Danio rerio: one gene and its partner. The protein of the gene in region 1 purifies or fractionates together with the protein of each later gene. This does not show direct contact. Links are inferred from orthologs where the notes say so. Each region holds a gene or a part of one and is shown in the gene's direction. Other genes may lie near its edges. The genes, in order: atp6v1ab and atp6v1f.

Region 1 (11,691 bases):
GTTTAATGTTGTGGGGTGTAACATCCCCCAACTCGATCCGGCTACTAGAACAAAAGCAGAATGGTCAACTAGCTGTGAACTGACAAACAATGTCCTTTTCTTTACATGTCAGGTCAGCAAACAGTCCACATAAATGACAATATTACAGCTTTACTATTAGAAAAGCCCAAGATATTAGTACAATATCAGTTATCAGTTGATTCTGCTGCATACAAAGCGTCTATGGATATCCATTTTTACCTAATATTAGATTTATACATCATTGTCATTTGTGCTCATTGAACTTCAGGAACAGTAAAATTAATAATGTATACATGATCTTCACTATTTAATCACATTTAATGGTGTAATACTTAAATTACTTCTATAGTTGAATGCAACAGAGTATTTCATTTATTTTATATTAAAATTTGTATTGTATTTAAGCGATAGTTCACCTAAAAATTATAACTTTGTCATTGTTTCCTCATAGTCCACTTATGTCAAACCTGTTTGAGTTTCTTCTGTTGAACAAAGGAAGATATACTGAAAAATGATAGGAAAAAAACAGCCATTAATTTAAATTTGGTTTCTTTTTTCCGACATCATTTGTGTTCAACTGAAGAAAAAAATTTGTAAAAGTTTGGAAACACCTTAGATCGAATAAATGGTGAGAAAATTGTATTTGGGGGGGGGTGGGGGGGGGGGTGGGGGTGGGGGGGGTGAACTACCCCTATAATAACTTAGTATCAGCACATCCTCATTTATCTTTCGTGTGTGTGGGTGTGTGTGAGAGAGAGATACCCTAAAGGTGCACCCACAAAACTACACATTTCTTGTATAACTATGATCACCGTAAACCAGCAGTGCAAAAAGCAGGTATTTATAGGGAGGCAGCAAACTGAAGCCCAACACCAACAACAGCTGCTGGTCACATGTTCACCACTGCCACTGAACAACCAGCATGAGTTGACAGGAGAAAAACATACACACTAAATAGAGTTTACAGAACTTATGATCACAGAACAAATGCCTATACTACTATACACGGTCTTGAAATCAAAGTCCACTGATTAAAACAAGTTAGATAATAAAGTTTACCAATGCTTGGTAAAGCGATGAGAGTAAATACGTTTCAGATGATATTGCAGACTTTTAAAGCAATGGTGCACCACTTCTGTTCATGAAGGGCCCCTTAAAAATACATTTAGTATGTTTTTTTCTAGTGAAACACCTGATTCCCTTCAGCTCCATAGCAGAGACTCTTAATGGGTGTGTCGGATAAATGTGTACTGCTGGAGGCCTTCCAGGAACAGGGCTGGGTACCACTTTTTTACAGATGTGAATTCAAAACTTTAAAATATGAAATATTTTATGATATAAAACAGAATTGGATTTAGAATAAAAATTTAAATATCGCTGACTTTTCTTTATTCTACACACATGGTCACAGCAAACCACTACAGTGAGCTTAACGTAGCATATTAGACATATTTATGCATCGTTTCATCCATCAAACGTTAAAGAATCGTCCTTCATAAAGTGTTTTAAGACCGTATGAACTTGTTCTGTCATTTTCAAAGAGGACATGCTATGCGGCTAAGCTCACTCCATCACGTGTGTCACATTTCAATTCTTACATCAAAATAATCTCACATTAACCCCAACATGACAGCAACAAGCTTTAATACACTGCTATTAAATGTAACGATCCATCTGGGCGCCCATTTGGGAGAGGTTTCAGATTGGCTTGCTAACCAAGATAGCAACTTGAAGACTGACTCAACATTTTCGGATTTAGATTCGACACACGATCCAGTTTGGCACGGACTTCACTCGTGCCGTTTGTACTGGCATAAGATTTAATCTGGTGCTAGATTACATGAGGCACTTTTAAGCTATTTTCTGGAGATTTTGGGAAAAGATTAAGGTAAAACTAGGTGTAAAAACGCGGCGCAAATGTCTCTTCTCCACATTAAGCGCGCAGAGAGCTAACAGCTAGCATTAGAGCAACTCCACTGCCCCCCTGCTGGAAAAAAGAGAATAGAGAGGGGAAAACTTTACTTGAGAGGAATAGAGCCTTCTCTGTCGTCTACTCACCCTTTCATGTTGAAGAAAACACGTTTGTTGTGAGGGATACAGGGGCAGTTGGCGGTATTTGGCAGTCTAAAGGGAAATTTGGGCAGAGTTTGGGATGTGATCCCCTCCACATGTATGTTGCTAGCACACAAGCTAAGCAGTCCGCATTTGCCTCTGTGCTGTGGCCGAAGGTTGCCAAGTCTTTCCTATTAAACCAACACATATAACTTAGATCAGATTGTGAATTAGGAAAACGATATTTTAGTTGTTTTTTATAGTTGATTTATCGATAATGTTCATTTATAGATATAAATTATGTCATATGAGTTGAGATTGAACCCCGAAATAGGCATTTACGACTATACATAAGTAATTAGTCGGTGGTTACTGATGGTTGATTTGGCAACCTTGAATTCTGGGAGGCTGCTGCTGTCAACCTTCACCACTGACAACTAGCAACAGGAAATAGAAAAAAAACGGGAAATTGCGTTTTTGTGACTTAATAATACAAGTCTTATTGTTTTAATCCAAATAAAATGTTGTATAATCTCCTTCTCTAAAGACTTAGAAGGATTTAAAAAAAAATAAAAACATATTTCATGGACGTGATCTAATACAAGAATATTTTGTAAAATAAATAAAAGTGTTGTCCTTGGAATAAAACATTTATCTTCTCCCTGTTTGTGAAACCAGACCAGGTTTTATTGTTTTGAGTTTGTGTTGGCTTGTATTTCAAACTTATATTTAAACTCACAATACCGTGTTCAAAATTACACTGTTAAAAATTCCTTTATTTGCTTATTACAGCAAGATTTTGCCCCTTAGGTTACACAGATTTCACTCCACATATAAATGCATCAACTTGCTGCAATCTGTTGACTTATTATAGGTGCATATATTCATTTAATGTGTTCTAAAATTAAATTAATCTGACATTTTAAATGTATAGTCCATGACTGTCTACTTACACGTAGAAACACCCTTAAAAGAAAATGCCACCAACGAAAGTTACATTTTTAGTTTGAAGGGTGTAAGGTAAAATAATTTATTAATCACAGCATAGTATGCGATAGCCTAATCACTACTCTTCTTGAGTACTTTTAGAAAGGCTACTTTTACTCACACATCGAGTGGTATTTAGAAAACAGATACATTTACAAGTGTCTTGCACTGCATTATTTTGGCAAATAACAGTACTTATGCTTGAGTATGATGTTCAGTACTCTTTCCATCACTGCTTGTCAGGTAAACATGTGTTTTGTCAATTACAATACAATTACAATAGTCAGTTTAAAGGTAGGGGTGGCTTCTTCTTGGTTCGAGTCCCAGTTGAGCCAGTTGGGATTTGTGTGTGGGGTTTACATGTCCTCTCCATGTTCGCCTGGGTTTCCTCTGACAGTCCAAAGACATGCGATATAGGTGAATTGGATAAAACAAAATTGGCTGTAGTGTGTAAGTGTGTGTCAAGAGTTTATAGGTTTTTCACAGTGGGTTGCGGCTGGAAGGGCATCCGCTGAGTAAAACATATGCTGGATTAATTGGTTGTTCATTCCACTGTGGTGACCCCTAATAAAAAGGGACTGAGCCAAAGGAAAATAAACAAATGACTTTAGAAGGCAGTGTTTAGCATATAAGATGATCTGATCTGAACCATGCTGAACCTTTTGACACTTGAATACCAAGACAGAAAAGCCTCCAAAGATGATGCTTAAAATCACTTATTGGCAGAGAACATTTGTCTTTTGACTTGATCTTTCAAAGTGAGCTGAGTTGAGAGAAGAGCAAGCGATGGGAAGGAAGTGTGGAAGGAGAATCAAATTTAAATGACAGATTGAAGGGAAACAAGATTTGTTGGTGTGAAATACACTGTATTTGTACTGTCCATATGAGAAGATCAAAGTATGTGAATTACACTAGATTCAAACGTACGCTCTCTGGTTTCCATTTTCATGTTATATTTTGCAGCAATTTCTCTCTTTTTGGTTAAGCATTATCTCCACTACTTTTTTAAATGGACATTTCTGTTACCTCAAACATGTTACTTGTGAGTTCATTCATTAATTTACCTTCAGCTAGTCCCTTTACTCATCAGGGGTTGCCACAGTGGAATGAACTGACAACTTACCCAGCATATGTTTCACACAATGGATTTCCTTCCAACTCCAACTCAGTACTGGGAAACACCCACACACACCCATTCACACACATCCACTATGGTCAATTTAGTTCATCCTATTGACCTATAGCGCATGTCTTTGAACTGTGGGAGAAATCAGAGCACCCAGAGGAAACCCTCTCCAACACAGGGAGAACATGCAAACTCCACACAGAATGCCAAATGGCCCAGCTGGGACTCAAACCACTGACCTTTTTGCTGTGAGGCGACAGTGCTAACCATTGAGCCATAGTGCCGCCCTAATAGTAAATATTGTACCCTATTAAATTTTTCATCCTTTCCATAAAAAAGTGTATTTGTGTAATCGTCCATGTCTCTGTTATTTATAAAAGCCACAGCACAGTCCCTGTTGAGTTTCTTGGATTATTGTTTAAGTTTTCTTATTCTTTCCTCTAGTGATAATACTGAAATGGGTAACATTATTTAGAAGATCTGTATCTTTACTAAATTAATTTAACATATGCTTACAATATCCTTTAATTTTTTGTTTCATTTTTTATACTTTATTTTAAATATATATATTAAAACTTGCATTTACAAAATGTGTAAATATGAGAAAAAAAATCAAGGACTTGTTAAATAGGTATTTTTAAAACTCAATTTGAAACAAAATTTTAATTATTTGAGTCTAGTAATGGTTAATAAAGAAGGGATTAATGCATGCATAAATGCTGAACCACCTTCACAGCACTATTTTTCCACACACACTAGGGGGCAATGTAGAGTTTCACGCACGCGCAGTTGACCTTTGACCCTGCATAGGGAGACAGGCTGTGACGTCATCTCACAACTGGACTGGACCGACTGAATGAAGTCAGCTGACTTTTCATTGCTGCTCACGTTTCATCTCACTAAAGGACCCAGACTGTCTCATCATCTGAGGTATTTACTCTTTTTTTGGACAACCATAACATTTTCACGCTGTTGCGCTATTGCAGAAATGTACATTTAGATTAGCCAGCCAAAAAATAGGACTAACGTTAGGATTTTCCCCATTCTCTTTGCAGCCATTCATAATCCATAACATTCATAAACAGCTCATTATACTGCTGTATGTAGTGTATAATTGTGTTCTGTGTCGATCTGAATGTCCGCTTCGCCTCAGCGTGCAGCTCATTCTGTTTGCTTAACGTTATTACATGTTTGTTTTTATTGCAGCATTGGGAATAATCCTACTCCGATTGCTGAAATATTTAAATATATTGTATATAAAGAGATTTGAAATGCTTACAAACCTGTGAGATCAATCGGTTTAACTAACGGGACACGAAAAATGAGCAAAGATTTCAGCAAAGGTCAAATTCTATCGCAGCATCGCGATCATGTGATCATGCAGCATCTCTTTACAGATCGATCTCCTAAAGCGGCAAGCATTAAAAATATGTAATACACTGAAATAATGTATATTTAATAATATGTTATGTTTAATCTTGTCGTTTTTGACTTTGAAAAGATTCTATTTGGGCACTGAGATATGTAGTTGCCCGCTTAGAATATTTATCTGCTGCTTTCCAATTAACAACAACACGCTAGGTTTGCTGACTAACTCACATATGCTAAAATTGTCTGTAAACCAACACCCAAACAGGCAAAAGCAAAGTTTTACACTAAATAAACGAATTGTCTCTCTTAATCAAAAATCTCATATGAGCATCATGTGATTGTAAATTCACAAAAACATGGAAGTTCCACTGGTTCCTCATGAGGCTTTTAATAACCAGTAATGGCTATTTTTATGGATGATATTGTCAACGTCATGCGTTTTATTCTAGTCTTTGTGGGATAGTTAGTTGTCTGTTAACTATAAATGATTTGATCAATTTTAATTTAAATTCGGGACTACAAAATATAATGTTATCCACATTTACTCAACAGTTTTTCCTACTTCCTCACCATGATTTCTTTTTTTACAGTCAGTCAGTGTCATGTGCTGCTGGTCATGTGACTGAGTTTCATGTTAGACTTGTATGGAATGCTTTATAATATAAATTGGCTGTTAAACATTTGGTTTCCTTTTGCATTTTATATGACTTAACGTGTAACAGAAAATGTAACAGAAACATAATTTTAAATTATAGCTATGTTTATACCACTATATAGGAATAGGGATAAATACAACAACCACGTGGAGCTTATAGGTCTAGGAAGTGTAATATTAGGTACAGAAAGTAATCCAAATAATCATCTGCTTTATCTTTCCACGTTTTGTATAATTTCATATCAGACACATTAAAAATGGACTTCTCCAAGTTGGCCAAAATCCGAGATGAGGAGCGGGAGGGACAATTTGGATATGTGCATGGTGTATCTGGACCTGGTTAGTACAAATAAAAATGTCATAATATTTGATTTTAATTAATAGGTTACCATGAGTTTTTTTTTTTTACATTTTTTTTTCATTTTATGTTTTTAATATTTAAAGCTTTTAATTTTATTTTTCTCTATTGTTTCCTTTTTTATTTCCTCTTTTTTTTTTGTTAATATGTGACCAAAGCTGTTAATTATTTTTTGTTAATTTTATTTTTTTTCCTAAAGATTTAATTTAATTAATGTGACCATACTTTTTCCTTGTTAGGTTTTTATTAAGTATACCCGAATCTTTGCATTTTATTCTATATTATTGTTTAATTTTGTTGGGATATTATGTTGATAGGGTGTCTATTTTTATATAGTAGAGTTTTTTGTTTTGTTTTTAAATTTTTGTTTATTTTTCTCTTTTTAATAATTTTTTAATGTCACCAGATTTAATGATTTGTTTATTTTTAATTTTAGTTTTGTTGGATTAGTATGACTCTGGGTGCTCCGGTTTCCCCCACAAGTCCAAAAACATTTGGTTTAGGTGAATTGTGTTGGCTAAATTGTCCATAGTGGATGTGTGTGAATAGTTGTGTGTGGATGTTTCCCAGAGATGGGTTGCGGCTGGAAAGGCATTTGCTGCATAAAACATGGTCTGGATAAGTTGGCGGTTCATTCCACTGTGGCGACCCAGATTAATAAAGAGACTAAGCCGAAAAGAAAATGAATGAATGAATGGATTAATATGACACTTCTGATGAACATTTTTATTATAATATTTTTTCAAACCCATCATTTATTGAAGTTTATTTGAATCTTCGAGTCATTCATAGTACAGGTTCCACTAATTGTCACAATTCTTCTACTTGTGTTACAGTGGTGACAGCCTCCAGTATGGCAGGAGCTGCTATGTACGAGCTGGTGCGAGTGGGTCACAGTGAGCTTGTGGGAGAGATCATTAGACTGGAGGGTGATATGGCCACCATTCAGGTCTATGAGGAGACATGTATCCTATTTATTACCTCAGGACATGACACAATTTTAATCCACCTTTTTTCCTACATAATGCTTTTTGTAAATGATGGGAGTATCTTCCATTAGACTAAACAATCAGTGAAGTGTTAAAAAACTGGGTACAATGAGGTGGCATTATTTTCCTCACAGTTTTCCCATCAAATGTCAAAAGGCAACTTACTAGAATTAACAAGCTACCTTATTAGATATGCTTGATAGGGGACGCAGTGGCGCAGTAGGTAGTGCTGTTGCCTGACAGCAAGATGGTCGCTGGTTCGAGCCTTGGCTGGGTCAGTTGGTGTTTCTCTGTGGAGTTTGCATGTTCGCGTGAGTTTCCTCCGGGTGCTCCGGTTTCCCCCACAGTCCAAAGACATGCGGTACAGGTGAATTGGGTAGGCTAAATTGTCCGAAGTGTATGAGTGTGTATGGATGTTTCTCAGAGATGGGTTGCAGCTGTAAGGGCATCCACTGCGTAAAACATATGCAGGAAAAGTAGGTGGTTCATTCTGCTGTAGCGACCTCAGATTAATAAAGGGACTAAGCTGAAAGGTAAATGAATGTATGAGATATGCTTGATAAAGATGTTATTTTCATAGCGGATAAAGCACAATGCCAAGCGTACCTCTCCCACAGTCTTCACTGTGTATATGGATTATTTTTTTAGCACAACTTTATTATTTAAAATGACTACTTTCAATTCATTGGAATATAATCTCAAACTGGTATCAGAAAAAGGTGAATCGCTGCCATAGCTGATGCTCTGTATGTAGAATCTGTCAAACAGTGTTGTGGTTTTCCTGAGCTCTCATCAGCTGGTGTGTCAGTCGGAGACCCTGTCCTGCGCACAGGGAAGCCCCTCTCTGTGGAGTTAGGGCCAGGAATCATGGGCTCCATCTTTGATGGTATTCAGCGTCCCCTTAAAGACATCAACGACCTAACTCAAAGCATCTACATTCCCAGGGGAGTCAACATTGGTGCTCTTAACCGTGATCTCAAATGGGAGTTCACTCCATCAAAGAATTTGCGTGTAAGTGACATTCATTTCTAGTTAAAAGTCTTTTGCAAGTCACCATGGATGAACAGTTGAGATTTACCATTTTAAAATCCATTCAGCTGATCTCTGGGTCTGGCAGGAGCATTTTAGTTTAGCATAGCATAAATCATTGAGTTGGACTAGACCATCAAAAGAGATTTGCTAATTTTCCTATTTAAAGCATGATTCTTCTGTAGGTACATCATGTAATGTAACTGACGGAAAATTAAAAGTTGCTATTTTCTAAGTCAGTATGGCTAGGAGTTATACTCTCATTCTGGTGTAATGATTAAGCAACTTTTTCCCTGCACCACGGCTTTAAATTGGAATATTATCGAAAGACTTTTTGGAAATTTTTGAGTGAGATGCTAATGGTCTAATCTGATGCAATGATTTATGCTAAGCTAAGCTAAAATCTACCTGGCAGACCCAGAGATTGGCTGATTGAATTAAAAAATGGTAAAACTCAGCTGTTTAACTCTAAGTGACTTGTAAAATGAGTCTATTTTCAAAAAAAGATGTTCAAATTTAATTTTATTGTAATTAATGCTAAAAGAGCTTTTGGTTGTTTTATATAAAATTAAATATAGTTAGGGTGCATACCTAATGAATTGTTTCCACTCAATTAAATTTAGGCAGCTCAGCATTACACTTAACAGTCTCTGAAATAATCTCTTTAAAATAACACCAACACAATAACAAAAAGGAATCACGTGATTAGTCAAATGATGAAGTGATTTAAATGATTTTTCATGTGTCCAGGTTGGCAGTCACATCACTGGAGGTGATATTTATGGGAACGTGTTCGAAAACTCTCTCATTAAACATAAAATCATGTTACCCCCGAAAAGCAGAGGAACCGTCACATACGTCGCACCACCTGGAAACTATGATGTCTCGGTGAGGCCGATAACATGCAAACATTTTCCAAAAAAACAGGAAAATTACCATTACTGTGATGTATAATTCAATGTTTGTGTGTTATTGTTAGGATGTGGTGTTGGAGCTGGAGTTTGAGGGGGTGAAAGAGAAGTTCACTATGATGCAGGTGTGGCCGGTGCGTCAGGTGCGTCCCGTCACAGAGAAACTTCCTGCAAATCACCCTCTGCTGACTGGACAGAGAGTCCTGGATGCCCTCTTTCCGTGAGTCATGCTTTCTGAAATACTTCTGTATTATAATAATAAATCCAGGTTTTTCATAATAGTAATGCTGGTTCACAAAGTCATTTTTCATGTAAATATTTTAACTTTTAAAATTACGCATATTAGACAGTTGATAAATATCTAAAGCCAAATTTTCATATACATACATGCATACATACACACATACATGCATATATATATATATATATAATATATATATATATTAGGGTTGGGCATCTAAGCTATAATGCCGATCCGATACGCATCTCGATACAAAGAATACGATCCGATATATTAGCGATACATTTGTGACATATTGCGATGCAACACGATACGATTCACACCCATATCACGATACAATGCGATATTTCAGCACTAATTAGATCAAGTTTATGAGATGATGTGAAAGAGGATGCTGTGCCATTGAATGAGTTTGATTATTTATAAACCAAGCAAAACCAAGACTTTTTTTTACAAACTGGCTCTTCTCTCAGAGCCAGAGTGTCAGTTTACAGTAGAGGGCCATTTTAGAACATATAGCACATATTATTTAAGTATTTTCAAGATAAACAGAATGTATAAGTGCAATATCAATTAAAAAATATGTATATATTTGCACTCTTTCAACATAAATAAATTTAGCAATGCACAACAAGAATTGTGATTTAACTTTTCAACTATGAAAACAAGTTTTACAAAGATATATTTTGCCACTGATTATTCAAAACTTAAGGTTGTGAACTAGCAGTGTTATGCTGCTTTGAAACATCACTGTCACTGTAAACAACAGGCTAATAAAAATATAACAAACCAGCAATCTTCTTGCTGTGAGGTGGTCAAACTACCCACTGTGCCACCGTGACACCCAATTATTTTTATCATTATTATTATTAATATTATTATTATTATAATTAAATAAAAATTAACAGGAGGAGGTGTTTAAAACCTTCGTTCTCCGTGACACTAGGCTGAATATCTTTGCAGATGAACAATGCAATAGCATTCGTTATTGGCGTAGAGCGAGCAGAACTGTTGCGCACGGAAAAAAAACTTGCAATGCTTTTCTCACCACTTTTGGAGCTGGTTGAAGCAGTGCGAAAGCCGGGGATGCAGAAACACTGGAAGATGCTTTCACAACAACACCGTGGCGCTGCTTCAAGTGAGATTTCAGATTAGTCGTACTGCCCGCGTATTTTACAGATGCGCGGCACATTTTGCAAATTGCATCTGTCCTGTCATGTCGTCCATCCTTAAATCCATAATGTTGCTTGCCATACTTTAGATTTAAAACTCAGTGGGGAATAAAATGTTTGTTTTGCTTCTCGCACTTTCTGAGGGCGCTCCACTAGCTTCATCCGCACACCTGATACACTGAGTTGTAGTGTGTGCACATCCGCAAATCTGTTGCTAAGGCTTACTTTATGTAGGTCGATTAAATTATGCGCCAAAAACAGGTTGACAACACTTGTTAATAAATAAAAAATACATTCTATATTAAAAATATAAGCTGTATCTCGGAAAAATCGATGCATCTCGCAAAAACCGATGTATCTCGATTTGCTTCCAAAATTTCATTCGTCCTCTGCTGCTCAACCGATGCACTCGCATCGTGCACGCGCATGACCGCGTATCGATACATATCGGTTAATCTTCCCATCCCTAATATATATATATATATATATATATATATATATATATATATATATATATATATATATATATATATATATATATATATATATATATATATATATATATATATATATATATATATGAACAACATTAAAATAACTATAAAGTGGCAAAAGATAAAAATAAAACATGTACTATTGTAATATATTGTAGGATTATGATAGGATTTATTTGAAATTTATTGCATTTAATCCTGCATGAATTACTATTACTAAAATTAATATATGTAACTTAACAAGGACAAATGTAAAATAAAGTGTTACCATATATCTAAACACCA
Region 2 (11,411 bases), on another chromosome or scaffold:
TCATTAGAAACTGATTTGGAAATGACCTTATTTTAATATAGTCAGTCATGAACTGAGGTGGGCCGGTCTGAGGCTTGAAACTCCAGGGCTGAAAAGGAGTCCCACTCCGGCCCTGATTTTACTTCCATATTTAATCACGTTAACCACAGGTAAAACCAAACACAACCCCACTTCAGTGCTAAAAAGTTCTTATATTTGGATAAATTAAGAAATTATAAATGGTTTCTATGCAGTCTTTTGAAAAAATGCACAAAGCAAAGGTCTTTCAACTTTGTCAAAGCATTAATAGTGAAGAATTACTAAAATAATGGACCGGTTTGTAAATGTAGTGCAGTAGAGGAAATATTGAAACAGACTTTGCTTCTTTAAACTTTTGCAATAAGTTCCTGTTTTAACGTCTTTTCTGCATGTTGCTTCCTCATTTTTCTTTCCTGTGTCACCCTTTCCAGTTTTGCTATACATTTAAAAATCTCATCACAATATTAGTCAATTGGATTTGCACACATTAAAAGCAATAACAATAGAGAGAAACATATATGGAAACCTTTTTTCTTTTTTTCTTTTTTTTTGCCAGCTGATAAATAAAATAACTATTGACATCAATGATCTGCCAAAAACTGGAGCATTTAAAGCATCGGAGAATAAATAACTCTGTAGCTTATAATAAGCATTATACAATACATAAGTAGATAGCAGTTATCTTGATAGTTATAATTCTCTGACTCTCCAGACTTTCTCTCATAAAGCACACAACATTAAACAATAATAATAATGAAAAAAATGTATTCATTTAAATATATTGTTATATTTAATGAGTTATCTCCTAACTGAGTATAAAACATATGTTGTTTTGGGATTAATTAATTAAACAAGATAAACATACATACTGTACAATAGTATAAAAGAGGGAAATAGATTAAAATGTAACCAATCTATAAAATAACCAACAGAGACCTTAATTGTGCCCAATGTCATGTTGAGCCAGCATATGTTCTCATATGTTTTGGTTAAAATTAAAAACTTTCTAGAAGCTAGAAGGTTAATATTGCTCAAATGGAAGGATAAATCCTTTCCAACCTTTAAGCAATGGCTTACAGACCTTTTAACCTCGGAAAAATATGATGCGTTATAAAAGGGGTGTACTAAGATGTCTTATCTTACTTGGCAACCTGTTTTAGATCACATTAAGAAGATGAACCCTTAAGTTATTTTAGAAGAAACTAATAATATCATTATTTATTTGTATTTTATTTTAATATTCATTCATTTTCTTTTCGGCTTAGTCCCTTCATTAATCAGGAGTCGCCACAGCGGAATTAACCGCCAATATGTCCAACATATGTTTTACGCAGCGAATGCCCTTCCAGCTGTAACCAAACAGTGAGAAACACCCAAAACAGATTGCAATACAGAATAATGCAATACAGATTGCAGATTTAACAATCTAACTCTAAATGTTTCAGATTTATTGAATCTAACTGTTCAATAAAAACACTTTTGAGAAAAAGAAATACAAAAATAACAAAAAGATTAGATTAAATAATTTATACAAAAAATCTTCCAAATATAATTCAAATTAAATATATATTTTATATGAATAATGCAAATAAAATAAGTATTATAATGCAAAAAGTACTAAAAATACACTTAGATTTTCCACAAAAAATTTTAAACCCATTCAATAATCAAATGTGCATAGTATTTTATTTAATACATTACTGTTAATGCAATTATTCAAAGACGTGCACCTGCAAAAAGCATTCAGTGCACTCTCTTTCACTACAAGCTCTCACACTTTACATTAAAAATGAAACATGAAATCCATAATGAAAGTTGCAATTATAACACCATAATTATATATTGATGGAAAGAAACTGCTTCCTTGGCTAATACATCATTTCTGCATAAAATATGATGCAATGAATCCTTTAATCTATAGCTTAATGGATTATTGGAGTTAAATGTTAATGCAAATCTATAATGATGTCCAGCAATACTATAATTGTGACCACTCAAGTATGAAAGGGACTAAAATATAAAAACAATTTAATCCTGTATCCAAAAAAAAGAAATCAGATGAACCATGTAACATCATAATCTAATAAGAGAAACACATGAACTTACTTTGGCTCAGGTCAAATACACCTGACATCACCAAAAGGCCCCCAAAACATTGCAAAATTTCACCTTAAGAAAGAAAGAGAGTGTGATTGTGCTAAACATCGGGTGGTTGTAAAGACGGGGTCATTTTTATGTGAGGGCACCATTTTGAGCTTGTAATAGTGGGAAAGATCAGTCCATATTATCCTCTTTACTACACGATAACAGGCTCCCGCTGGTTGTTCTGCCTTTTCACTACGAAAACCTTCTGTCCGGAGATGGTCACAGCATAGACGTAGTCTTCAAACATCACTGACATCAGACAAAAAAGGAAAGAAAAAAATATACATTAATATCAGTATTTGTTTGGAAGTTATGGATTTTCACAGCAAGTAAAAATGATTTACTGTAAAATAGTAAATGATCATATATCAATTATTTCTTATTGAATAAATTTAATTAAAACAACAAATTAAAGAGGGTTATTTTATTTTATTAGGGCTATTTTGTTCCTAAACAAAATCAAGAGGATAAAAAAAGACTTAAAATGGTTACACATGAAACCATAAAAACTAATAAAACCTTTTTTTTTTTAAACAGACCTATTTAAAAACACAACTGATAGAAATACATAACAAAATTGCTTAAACTTTAAATAGAAAAAACACAAAATGTAAAGATAAAAACTATTTCAAACTGTAAAAATATCTGGATAATACTTAAACCTAATGTTACAAATAAACACTAATACTACAGTGATATCTGAATATTACATAAACCTGATGTTACACAAGCATGTTTACTTTAATAATTCACATCACATTTTTTGAAAATTAAATGACAAAATATGAGTGAAATATTGTTCTATCATCATTCAGCATTTATCTAAAAATGAAGTGCGTTTCTTACCAGACATGCGCTTGAATGGGGGCTCTGCAGTCCCATGTAATCTGAAGCGACAAGCTGTTCGGACCATCTGCATGATCACTCCTGCTGTGTGCTCGTCATTCTCCAGCTCTCCTGCCGACTGTAGATTACAAAAAACATTCACTTACTGCTTAACTGAGACAAGTGGAGTCATTATTAATCCCCCTATGATATTTTCTTTTTTAAATATTTCCCAAATTATGTTTAATAGAGCAAGGACATTTTCACATTATTTCATATAATATTGTTTCCTCTGGAGAAAGTCTTATTTGTTTTATTTTGGCCAGAATAAAAGCAGCTTTTCATACCATTTTAACTCAATTATTATTACCCCCCCCCCCCCAAGCAATATATTTTTTTAACTTGTCTACAGAACAAATTATTGTTAATTAAATTACTAATTAAACTAAGTATCTTCCTTAACCTAATTAACCCAATTAAGCCTTTAAATTGAACTTGAAGCTGAATACTATTATCCTGAAAAATATGTAGTAAAATAGTATGTACTGTCATCATGGCGAAGATAAAAGAAATTCATTAGTTATTCAATCTATTATGTTTAGAAAAGTGTTGAAAAAAAATCTCTCTGTAAAACAGAAATTGGGGAAAAATATAAAAGATTTAAAATTAAACAGCAAGGCTAATAATTCTGACTCAACTGTAAATGATAAATTGATTATATGATTAAAACATAGAACCTATCGAATATATAGAAAGAGACAGAGAGAGAGATAACCCCTTGAGCCAGGTGTGTCCAACAGACAGACAGACAGACAGACAGACAGATAGATAGATACAGTTAAAGGCACAATTATTGGCAATAAATAAATATTTTCCTTTTTTAATTTATTTTCATGAAGGCTGTTCAAAAGGAAGAAGATTTCTCAACACATTTTTAAAAATAATAGTTGTAATATATATATTTTTTAACAGAATCTGTCTTTGCCATGATAACACTGCATAATATTTTGCTAGTTATTTTACAAGATATTAGAATTCATCTTAATGAGTAACTTAAAGGCTTAACTTGGTTAATAAGTTTAACTAGGCAAGTCATTGAATACCATTATTTTGTTCTAAGGGCCTATTAACCTATTAAAATTGTTATTTTTTTATTTAAAAACTGCTTTTATTCCAGACAAAATAAAAGAAATAAAAAATTTTCTCAAGAATAAAAATATTATAGAAAATACTGTGAAAATGTCATTGCTCAGTTCATCATAACTTGGGAATTTTTTTTTAAATAATATGTATCAGTAGAGGCGTAATAATTTTGCCTCAAAGTGTAGACAGGCAAACAGAGACAGACAGAACAATAAGACTGACAGACATTGAATTCTAATTAATTATTTCTCATTTGCCCAAATCAGGATTCTCTTTTCAACGCATTTCACCCTCATGTCAAGTTCTCCGAAAATGTAAGTTATGAATTTTAACAGCTTACCGCGAGTACTCCGTCTTCACTAATAACCAAGTACCCAAGTTGATCGGGTATTCTCTCCAAGCCTTGAGTCAAAGCAGTAGTCTGACATTCAACACACGATAATACTGTAATTAAACACTAACAGAGCTCATATGATATTAGACTGCATCATCAATCACATTATTTACAAAATCTTTGTTTTATAAGTTCTAAATGCACTAAAACAAAACATTTAATAAAAAAAACATTTAATTAAACAAATATTTTAAAGGTAAGAATTATATTTACCATTTTAGACAGTGCAGATAAATGTACACTGCTGTTTTCCTTCACACCCCGCCTCACGTGACTGACATCAAGCGTCGCGTGTTTATAACGTCATTCCAGGAGATGTTTTGCTTATTCGACATTATTTTTGTTTATATGCATTGGAAACGTACAAAATGTGATAAAAAATCTTAGTATGACTAAAACGTGGCGGATTTTTATTTAATTTGCTAGGATTTATGCGCTGTTCTCGCATTTAACAAAAAATAATCTGTATCAGGATCAGATTCGCTGTCATAATCACCGCACACAGGTCGGTCGTTAACGCGAGCAGCACAGATCTCAGATCAGCTAAATAAGGCGCTTACGCGACTACGCAAAGCGGAAGTGAAGTGGTCAGCTGATTAAAGCATATGATCCTGCTGAACGGAAAACATTTCGTCCATTCTGCGTCTTTTATTTGAGCAAAATATAAGACAAAGTCACGATGCCCGGACGAGGAAAATTAATCGCAGTTATCGGTGATGAAGACACGTGCACCGGATTTCTCCTCGGAGGGATCGGAGAGCTCAATAAAAACCGTAAACCCAATTTCTTGGTGGTGGAGAAGGAAACCAGCGTTACAGAGATAGAGGAGACCTTCAAGTAAGTGACACGATCCTAAATGTCTGAATGACTCAACATCATATATTACAATCTAATTATCAAATATGTGTCATTACAAATATATGGATGAAGACTTGCTTTTTAAAAAAATATTTATGTTTATCTATCTATCTATCTATCTATCTATCTATCTATCTATCTATCTATCTATCTATCTATCTATCTATCTATCATATCAGCCAAATATTTTAGAAAAAACATTTATATATAAATTATTTTTATGTAGTAATAATTACCTAAATTTGTCAAGAAACCCACTTAAATGTCTTTTAGTTTAACAATATTTTATATACACCAGTAAACTGTCAATCATATTTGCAAGAAACTATTAAAGACATATCAAACTATTAATATTATGAATTACAGTGCAGCCCCTATTGACAATTGTCATTTAAATATCCTTTGTCACTATTCTTCAAACTACTGATCAATTTTGAATAATTTAAATATAAGAACATGTTTGTCTGATCTCTTCTTATTCTGACGATAGATCATTTTGAGGAATGTAAACAAAAACAAATGTTCCAACGTATTTTCTGTTTTACATTTTTAATTTTTATAGCTTACGAGAATCTAAAAAGAGCCTGCTTATTGATAAATAATGTTATGATAGCTTTTTTAGAATTAAGTTATTATTCAATTGTTTCTTTGATATCAAGCATAGGCCAATGTCATCACCACAATGAAATGGTCTATATGAATAAGTACAAGTCCAAGTCAATATGTAGTTTGGTATTTACATAAATATGCAATAATGTCTGATTTTGATTATAATTTCACCCATGCTTGCATTTAATTTTCAGAAGAGTTATTTGAAACATCAAAGTATGCGCTGTATATGCATTTAATACAATAATAAAATTATATTATGTATAACACCTTAGTAGACATACAGAAAAAAATGTCTTACTAACACATATATTATGCATTAATATATACAGTAAACATTACTTTTCCCAATAACCTTTTGAATTGTAATTTTTGGATTAACAAATAGATGCAGAGAATAGTAGATTTTTGTAATTGTACAATTTTTTTTCTGTCAACATTAACTACAGCATGTCTGTCGTTTATGACTAACAGGAGTTTCCTTGCTCGCAATGACATTGGCATCATCCTTATCAACCAGTTCATCGCAGAGATGATTCGACATGCCATTGATGCCCACATGCAGTCCATCCCGGCTGTGCTAGAGATTCCCTCAAAAGAGCATCCATATGATGCCTCCAAAGACTCCATCCTGCGACGGGCCAAGGGTATGTTCTCTGCAGAGGACTTCCGATAACCTGTTACTACCCATGCAGGCTCACAGTCTGGCCTGAGCAGATGAAGGAGTTGGGTATTCTCATCCATCTCGCTGAAACTGAAAAGCATATTATGAGGAGTAAATAATGATGTGTGTTTAATCAATGTTCTGTGATGTATTTTTTGCCATTCCCAAGGAAATAGTTTTTGTCAGTGCTCCTACTAATAATTATTTTAAAATATATGTTTAATATAACAATCATATATATCATATATAAAAATTCAATATATTATGAATTTCCTTTTAAATGCTGTCACTTTAATATTTAAGTTCCTGAATGTCTTTCTCAAACTTGATAATATTAGACAGAAAACAAACTCTCTACATCTGTTACTGTAAATTGGTGTGCTATGCATATATTTTTTCCTCATTGTATTGGTCATTGTTTTGAAGCATTTCAAAGAAGCTTTCCTCAATGTGATGCAATTAAAATGTGTTCAAAGTATGTGATTTGCAGTTATTAAAGGTAATTGGAGTATTATGCTCTATTGATACTGTGGTGATGGAAAATAAATATTAAGGTAAAATATGCAAATACAAAAAAGACTAGAATAATGCAAATAGAAATGCAAATAATGCATATAAAAATATGATGATTTGGTCATGTTAAAATTCAATCAGCCAATCACATGTCAGCAATAAAATGTGTTTAGGAATCTATGTGGTCATGATGATTTAACGTGACTAGGGATTTTAGAGAACAGTCAGATAAATGTCCCGAGTGGATCTATGTGGGTAAAGAGAGTTTGTTTGTGACAGAAATCAGAATAGCATGGAATAACACTTTAGAATAATGCTACATCAGTTCATGCATCTACTAACATGAACTAAGTAGGGGTAATCTTGAAAATAATTTATTAACCATTAGTTCAACATTTACTAATGCATTAATAATAGCCGAAGTTGGTCTTGTTAACATTGGTTAATGCACTGAGTTAACATCAACTAACACTCTTTAATTAAATTAACTTTATTAACTTTAACAATGATGAATAAGTACTGAATGTATTACTAATTGTTTGTTCATGTTAGTAATACATTTATTATGGTATTTTAAAGTGTTGCCAATCTTGGACAGACACAAGCACTGATCAAAATTAAAGTCTAGAGAGTGAACACTGACACTGATCAAAACAGACTCTGAGACTGCACACACAACGCATAAAATATTGCAGGAGAAGAGATACCTGTGACACTCCAGTCATTTAAAAACAAAAAACTGAGTCTACAGTTTGCGCACTCTTTTACGCACTCTTTTACAATATTAGTACAATAGAAAACTGGAAAATGGTTGTCTAATATGATGAGTCTTCTGCTCTGACATTAAGATAGTTTTAGAATTGGTTTGGTTTAAACAACATGAATGCATGAATCAATCTTGACTTATTTGAATGGATCAGGATTCTGCTGGTGGTGTAATGGGGAAAAGGATATTCCTTATATCCTTGTCATTGAGTTATATATCAAGGCCCTTATTCACTAAGTATCTTAAGGATAAAAGTAGCTCCTAACTTGCTATATAAACATTTTAGAAATCCTTGATGGTAGTTAGCTTTTAACAGCGTATTCTCATATGGTCAGAAATGGTATGAAATATATTTTTGAATTTATAAAATACAAATTTAAAGATATATTTGCTTAAATATTTTCTAAGCAAATACATTAATTTGTACCATTAGAAGTAAATCTTTATTTAATGTCTAATACATTAAAAGCAAGAACATAAAACTTTGTCTAGCCACCTTTTTAAAACCTTTAATTGAACATGAAATAAAATACAACATATTTTGCGCTCTACAGAATTTTCAGACTCCTCCGTTCCATCAGCCAATCACTGTCTGGATAGTTAGTAATCATGCTGACATAGCAATGAGGTCCATGCTCTCACTCTTAGCTTAAAAGGTCTCAGCAGCTGTCAACACATTTTAATATTACATGTCATTTTTACTGCTATTTAGGAGGTAAGAAATAATTGTGCCTACGAGCTCAGGTATATCATCATGCTGGCAACAAACACACATGATGTTGGTTGTATAAACTGCTTTGTTTGTTGCAGGTTCCTGAAAATCCTGTGTATCATCACTGACTGTACACTCACACTATGGAAGTCTAACAGAAATCTGACTACTAATATATCTCAGTCAAACACTTAACAATGATGAGAGCAAGTGATTCATTGATTCTTCGGTGGCTTTTACACCGTCGCTGTCAGATCCTGAATATTTTAGGGAACATTGGTCACATCTATCTTGTCCATTATTTAAACTGTCTTATCTAAGGACAAAACCTACTCTTACCTGTGGGAATCACACATCATACATACAGATTCCTGGTAGATTAAAGAGCATTTAAATGGAAAGAGGATGAAATATAAGCTCAAATCAACTTTGTTCTGCTTCATTCACAATCACTCTGTTCAGTAAATCGGTTCTGCTGTTTGATCAACAACATGATTTCTGTTTGGATTTTAAGTTCTCTGATCCTCAGCTACACTTTTGGGGGTCCCATCTTCAAGAACATAAGGTAAGATATGTTTTCATGCTATATTTTGTCTATGAACATTTTTTTCCACCATATTGAATTTCATATATTTTATTTCAGCAGTGGCTCGAATATGGAGATTTCTCCCAATGCTACAAAGAGCAACTTAACAGAGTTTACTACTCCGACAAACATGTAAAGAAAATATATATGGTTATATTGTGAGTTCTACAGAATGCTAAAATAATGCTTGTATCTAACTCAAACTTTTTTTTCTTTTGTAAACAGGTCTGTAAGGCCTTCAAAATTCTTGTAAGTCTTGTTTTTTTTTTTTAAATGCATATTATATTATATTATATTATATAATATTATATTATATTAGATTAGATTAGATTAGATTAGATTAGATTAGATTACTAGTGTCTAAACTAGTAGACATTACCCATAGACACTTTAACCGACAAAAACACTACATTTATGAAGTGTGTTTCACACAGGTGAGTGGTATTGACAAACATCTATCTCTGTCTTTCTCTCTCTCTCTCTCCCCCTTAAAATAACGAAAAACTCTAGCACTTTTACTCTAGCACTAAATTCCCTGAGCACAAACAAGTTCTTTGTATAACTAGTGCTTCTTTTGTGTAATACCTCATCTTGTTTAATCACTAAACGCCTTTTCAATTGTAAGATGCTTTGGACAAAATCATCTGCTAAATGACTAAATGTTAATGTAACTCAAAGTTAAATAAAAATGTGTTTTCATATTGCAGACTGACTCAAAAACCTTTCACAACACACATATTCACCATCACAGAATGCCATAACTGTTACTGACCGTATTTCCGCACAAATTCAATCAGGATAATTGTTGGTCTACAGCGAGTTCTTGTGAACTAAGTGAAATTTATTGATTTGCATTTAAGTTATGTTGGATTTGCTTGTACATAATAAAAATAATAGTTTAAAAAGGTTTTGAAATCTAAAAGTGCTGTAAGATGTATTTACTCAAGTAAATGCTGTTTTTATAAATTATAGCATGTCACAAATCTATCAATTGTGTTACTTCTATAACAAAAAGTAACTAAATACGGATCTGCAGTTGTATAATAGTAATTTTTGTAATATGTAACTAAAGCATTTAAAGTGTTTCCATATAAGGCGATGGGCTTAAGTAAAATAAAATTAAATAAATTTTCACAATGTTAATTAGCAACTGTGATGTGTGATCTTTATATTCAAAAGCAAAGTGAATGTTAATTAAAAGAGTTAGCATTTGTCTTTTATAACAATAGAATAAATCTTTCCAAAGTAATTGTTAATTAGTTTATTAATATGCATGCAACCCTTGTAACATTTCAGAAAGAATGCTTGTTTTGTTCCTAATTAAACTCATATTAAATATATATTGTGTTACGGTTAGGGTTAGGTCCTGGTCTTTGTTAGACCACTTTAATTTAAAATGCCAAGCTAAACTAGAGCCATTGGCAGCTCTGGTCCATTTTCACTGACAAATCAAACCTAAAATAACAACAGTAAACTCAAACAAATGACTTCCTGTCTCGTTCTGGCATTTTCTGCATCACCCTTTCTTTCTGACACACACCAGATTTAAAATTTGCATCACATAAAAATGGCCTTTAAATGATTTCATTATAGTGACAAAAGGATCCTTTCAAAATATTTCTATTGTGCCTGAATTTCCTTTCATTTCAGGCGAAGGTGTTTTCTGTCCACTTGTGCCTTGTGGAACCTAGGGGCATTGTTACAGACTGGAAATGAGGTTGCAGGGGACTTTACCAATGATCCATTGGGATTTGGCAAAAAATGATGCATGGTTCTGAATGTTCAAAGAATGTGTAATCAAGCTTTTGATTAAATATATGAGGATGTTGCACTAATAATGAATCACAATGAAACTGTTTTACTTAATTGTCAACTTTTATGTGCTGTAATACAAATATATATATATATATATATATATATATATATATATATATATATATATATATATATATATATATATATATATATATATATATATATATATATATATATATATATATGTGTATATATATATATGTATGTGTGTGTGTGTGTGTGTGTGTGTGTGTGTATACATATATATATATATATATATATATATATATATATATATATATATATATATATATATATATATATATATATATATATATATATATATATATATATATATATATATATCACTTTTTAACCGTACTT

What was found.
Region 2: the proteins of atp6v1ab (region 1) and atp6v1f fractionate together in Homo sapiens (co-fractionation; 3 studies listed by BioGRID and IntAct, with this or other methods). This does not show direct contact. The link is inferred for Danio rerio from reciprocal best matches to the Homo sapiens genes ATP6V1A and ATP6V1F.

What each region holds. Positions count from the first base shown.
Region 1 is NC_133199.1:25,045,731-25,057,421, reverse strand, and holds the start of atp6v1ab (V-type proton ATPase catalytic subunit A), read left to right. Parts: upstream 1-5,054; 5' UTR 5,055-5,116; intron 5,117-6,458; 5' UTR 6,459-6,469; coding exon 6,470-6,551; intron 6,552-7,406; coding exon 7,407-7,535; intron 7,536-8,355; coding exon 8,356-8,570; intron 8,571-9,338; coding exon 9,339-9,476; intron 9,477-9,567; coding exon 9,568-9,719; intron 9,720-11,691. Other genes in the region: naa50 (N-alpha-acetyltransferase 50), read right to left, coding at 1-44, 2,080-2,087. UniProt on the Homo sapiens protein: Catalytic subunit of the V1 complex of vacuolar(H+)-ATPase (V-ATPase), a multisubunit enzyme composed of a peripheral complex (V1) that hydrolyzes ATP and a membrane integral complex (V0) that translocates protons.
Region 2 is NC_133179.1:20,639,312-20,650,722, reverse strand, and holds atp6v1f (V-type proton ATPase subunit F), read left to right. Parts: upstream 1-5,100; 5' UTR 5,101-5,204; coding exon 5,205-5,362; intron 5,363-6,466; coding exon 6,467-6,668; 3' UTR 6,669-7,199; downstream 7,200-11,411. Other genes in the region: ragulator complex protein LAMTOR4, read right to left, coding at 2,315-2,412, 3,010-3,127, 4,472-4,588, 4,739-4,741. UniProt on the Homo sapiens protein: Subunit of the V1 complex of vacuolar(H+)-ATPase (V-ATPase), a multisubunit enzyme composed of a peripheral complex (V1) that hydrolyzes ATP and a membrane integral complex (V0) that translocates protons.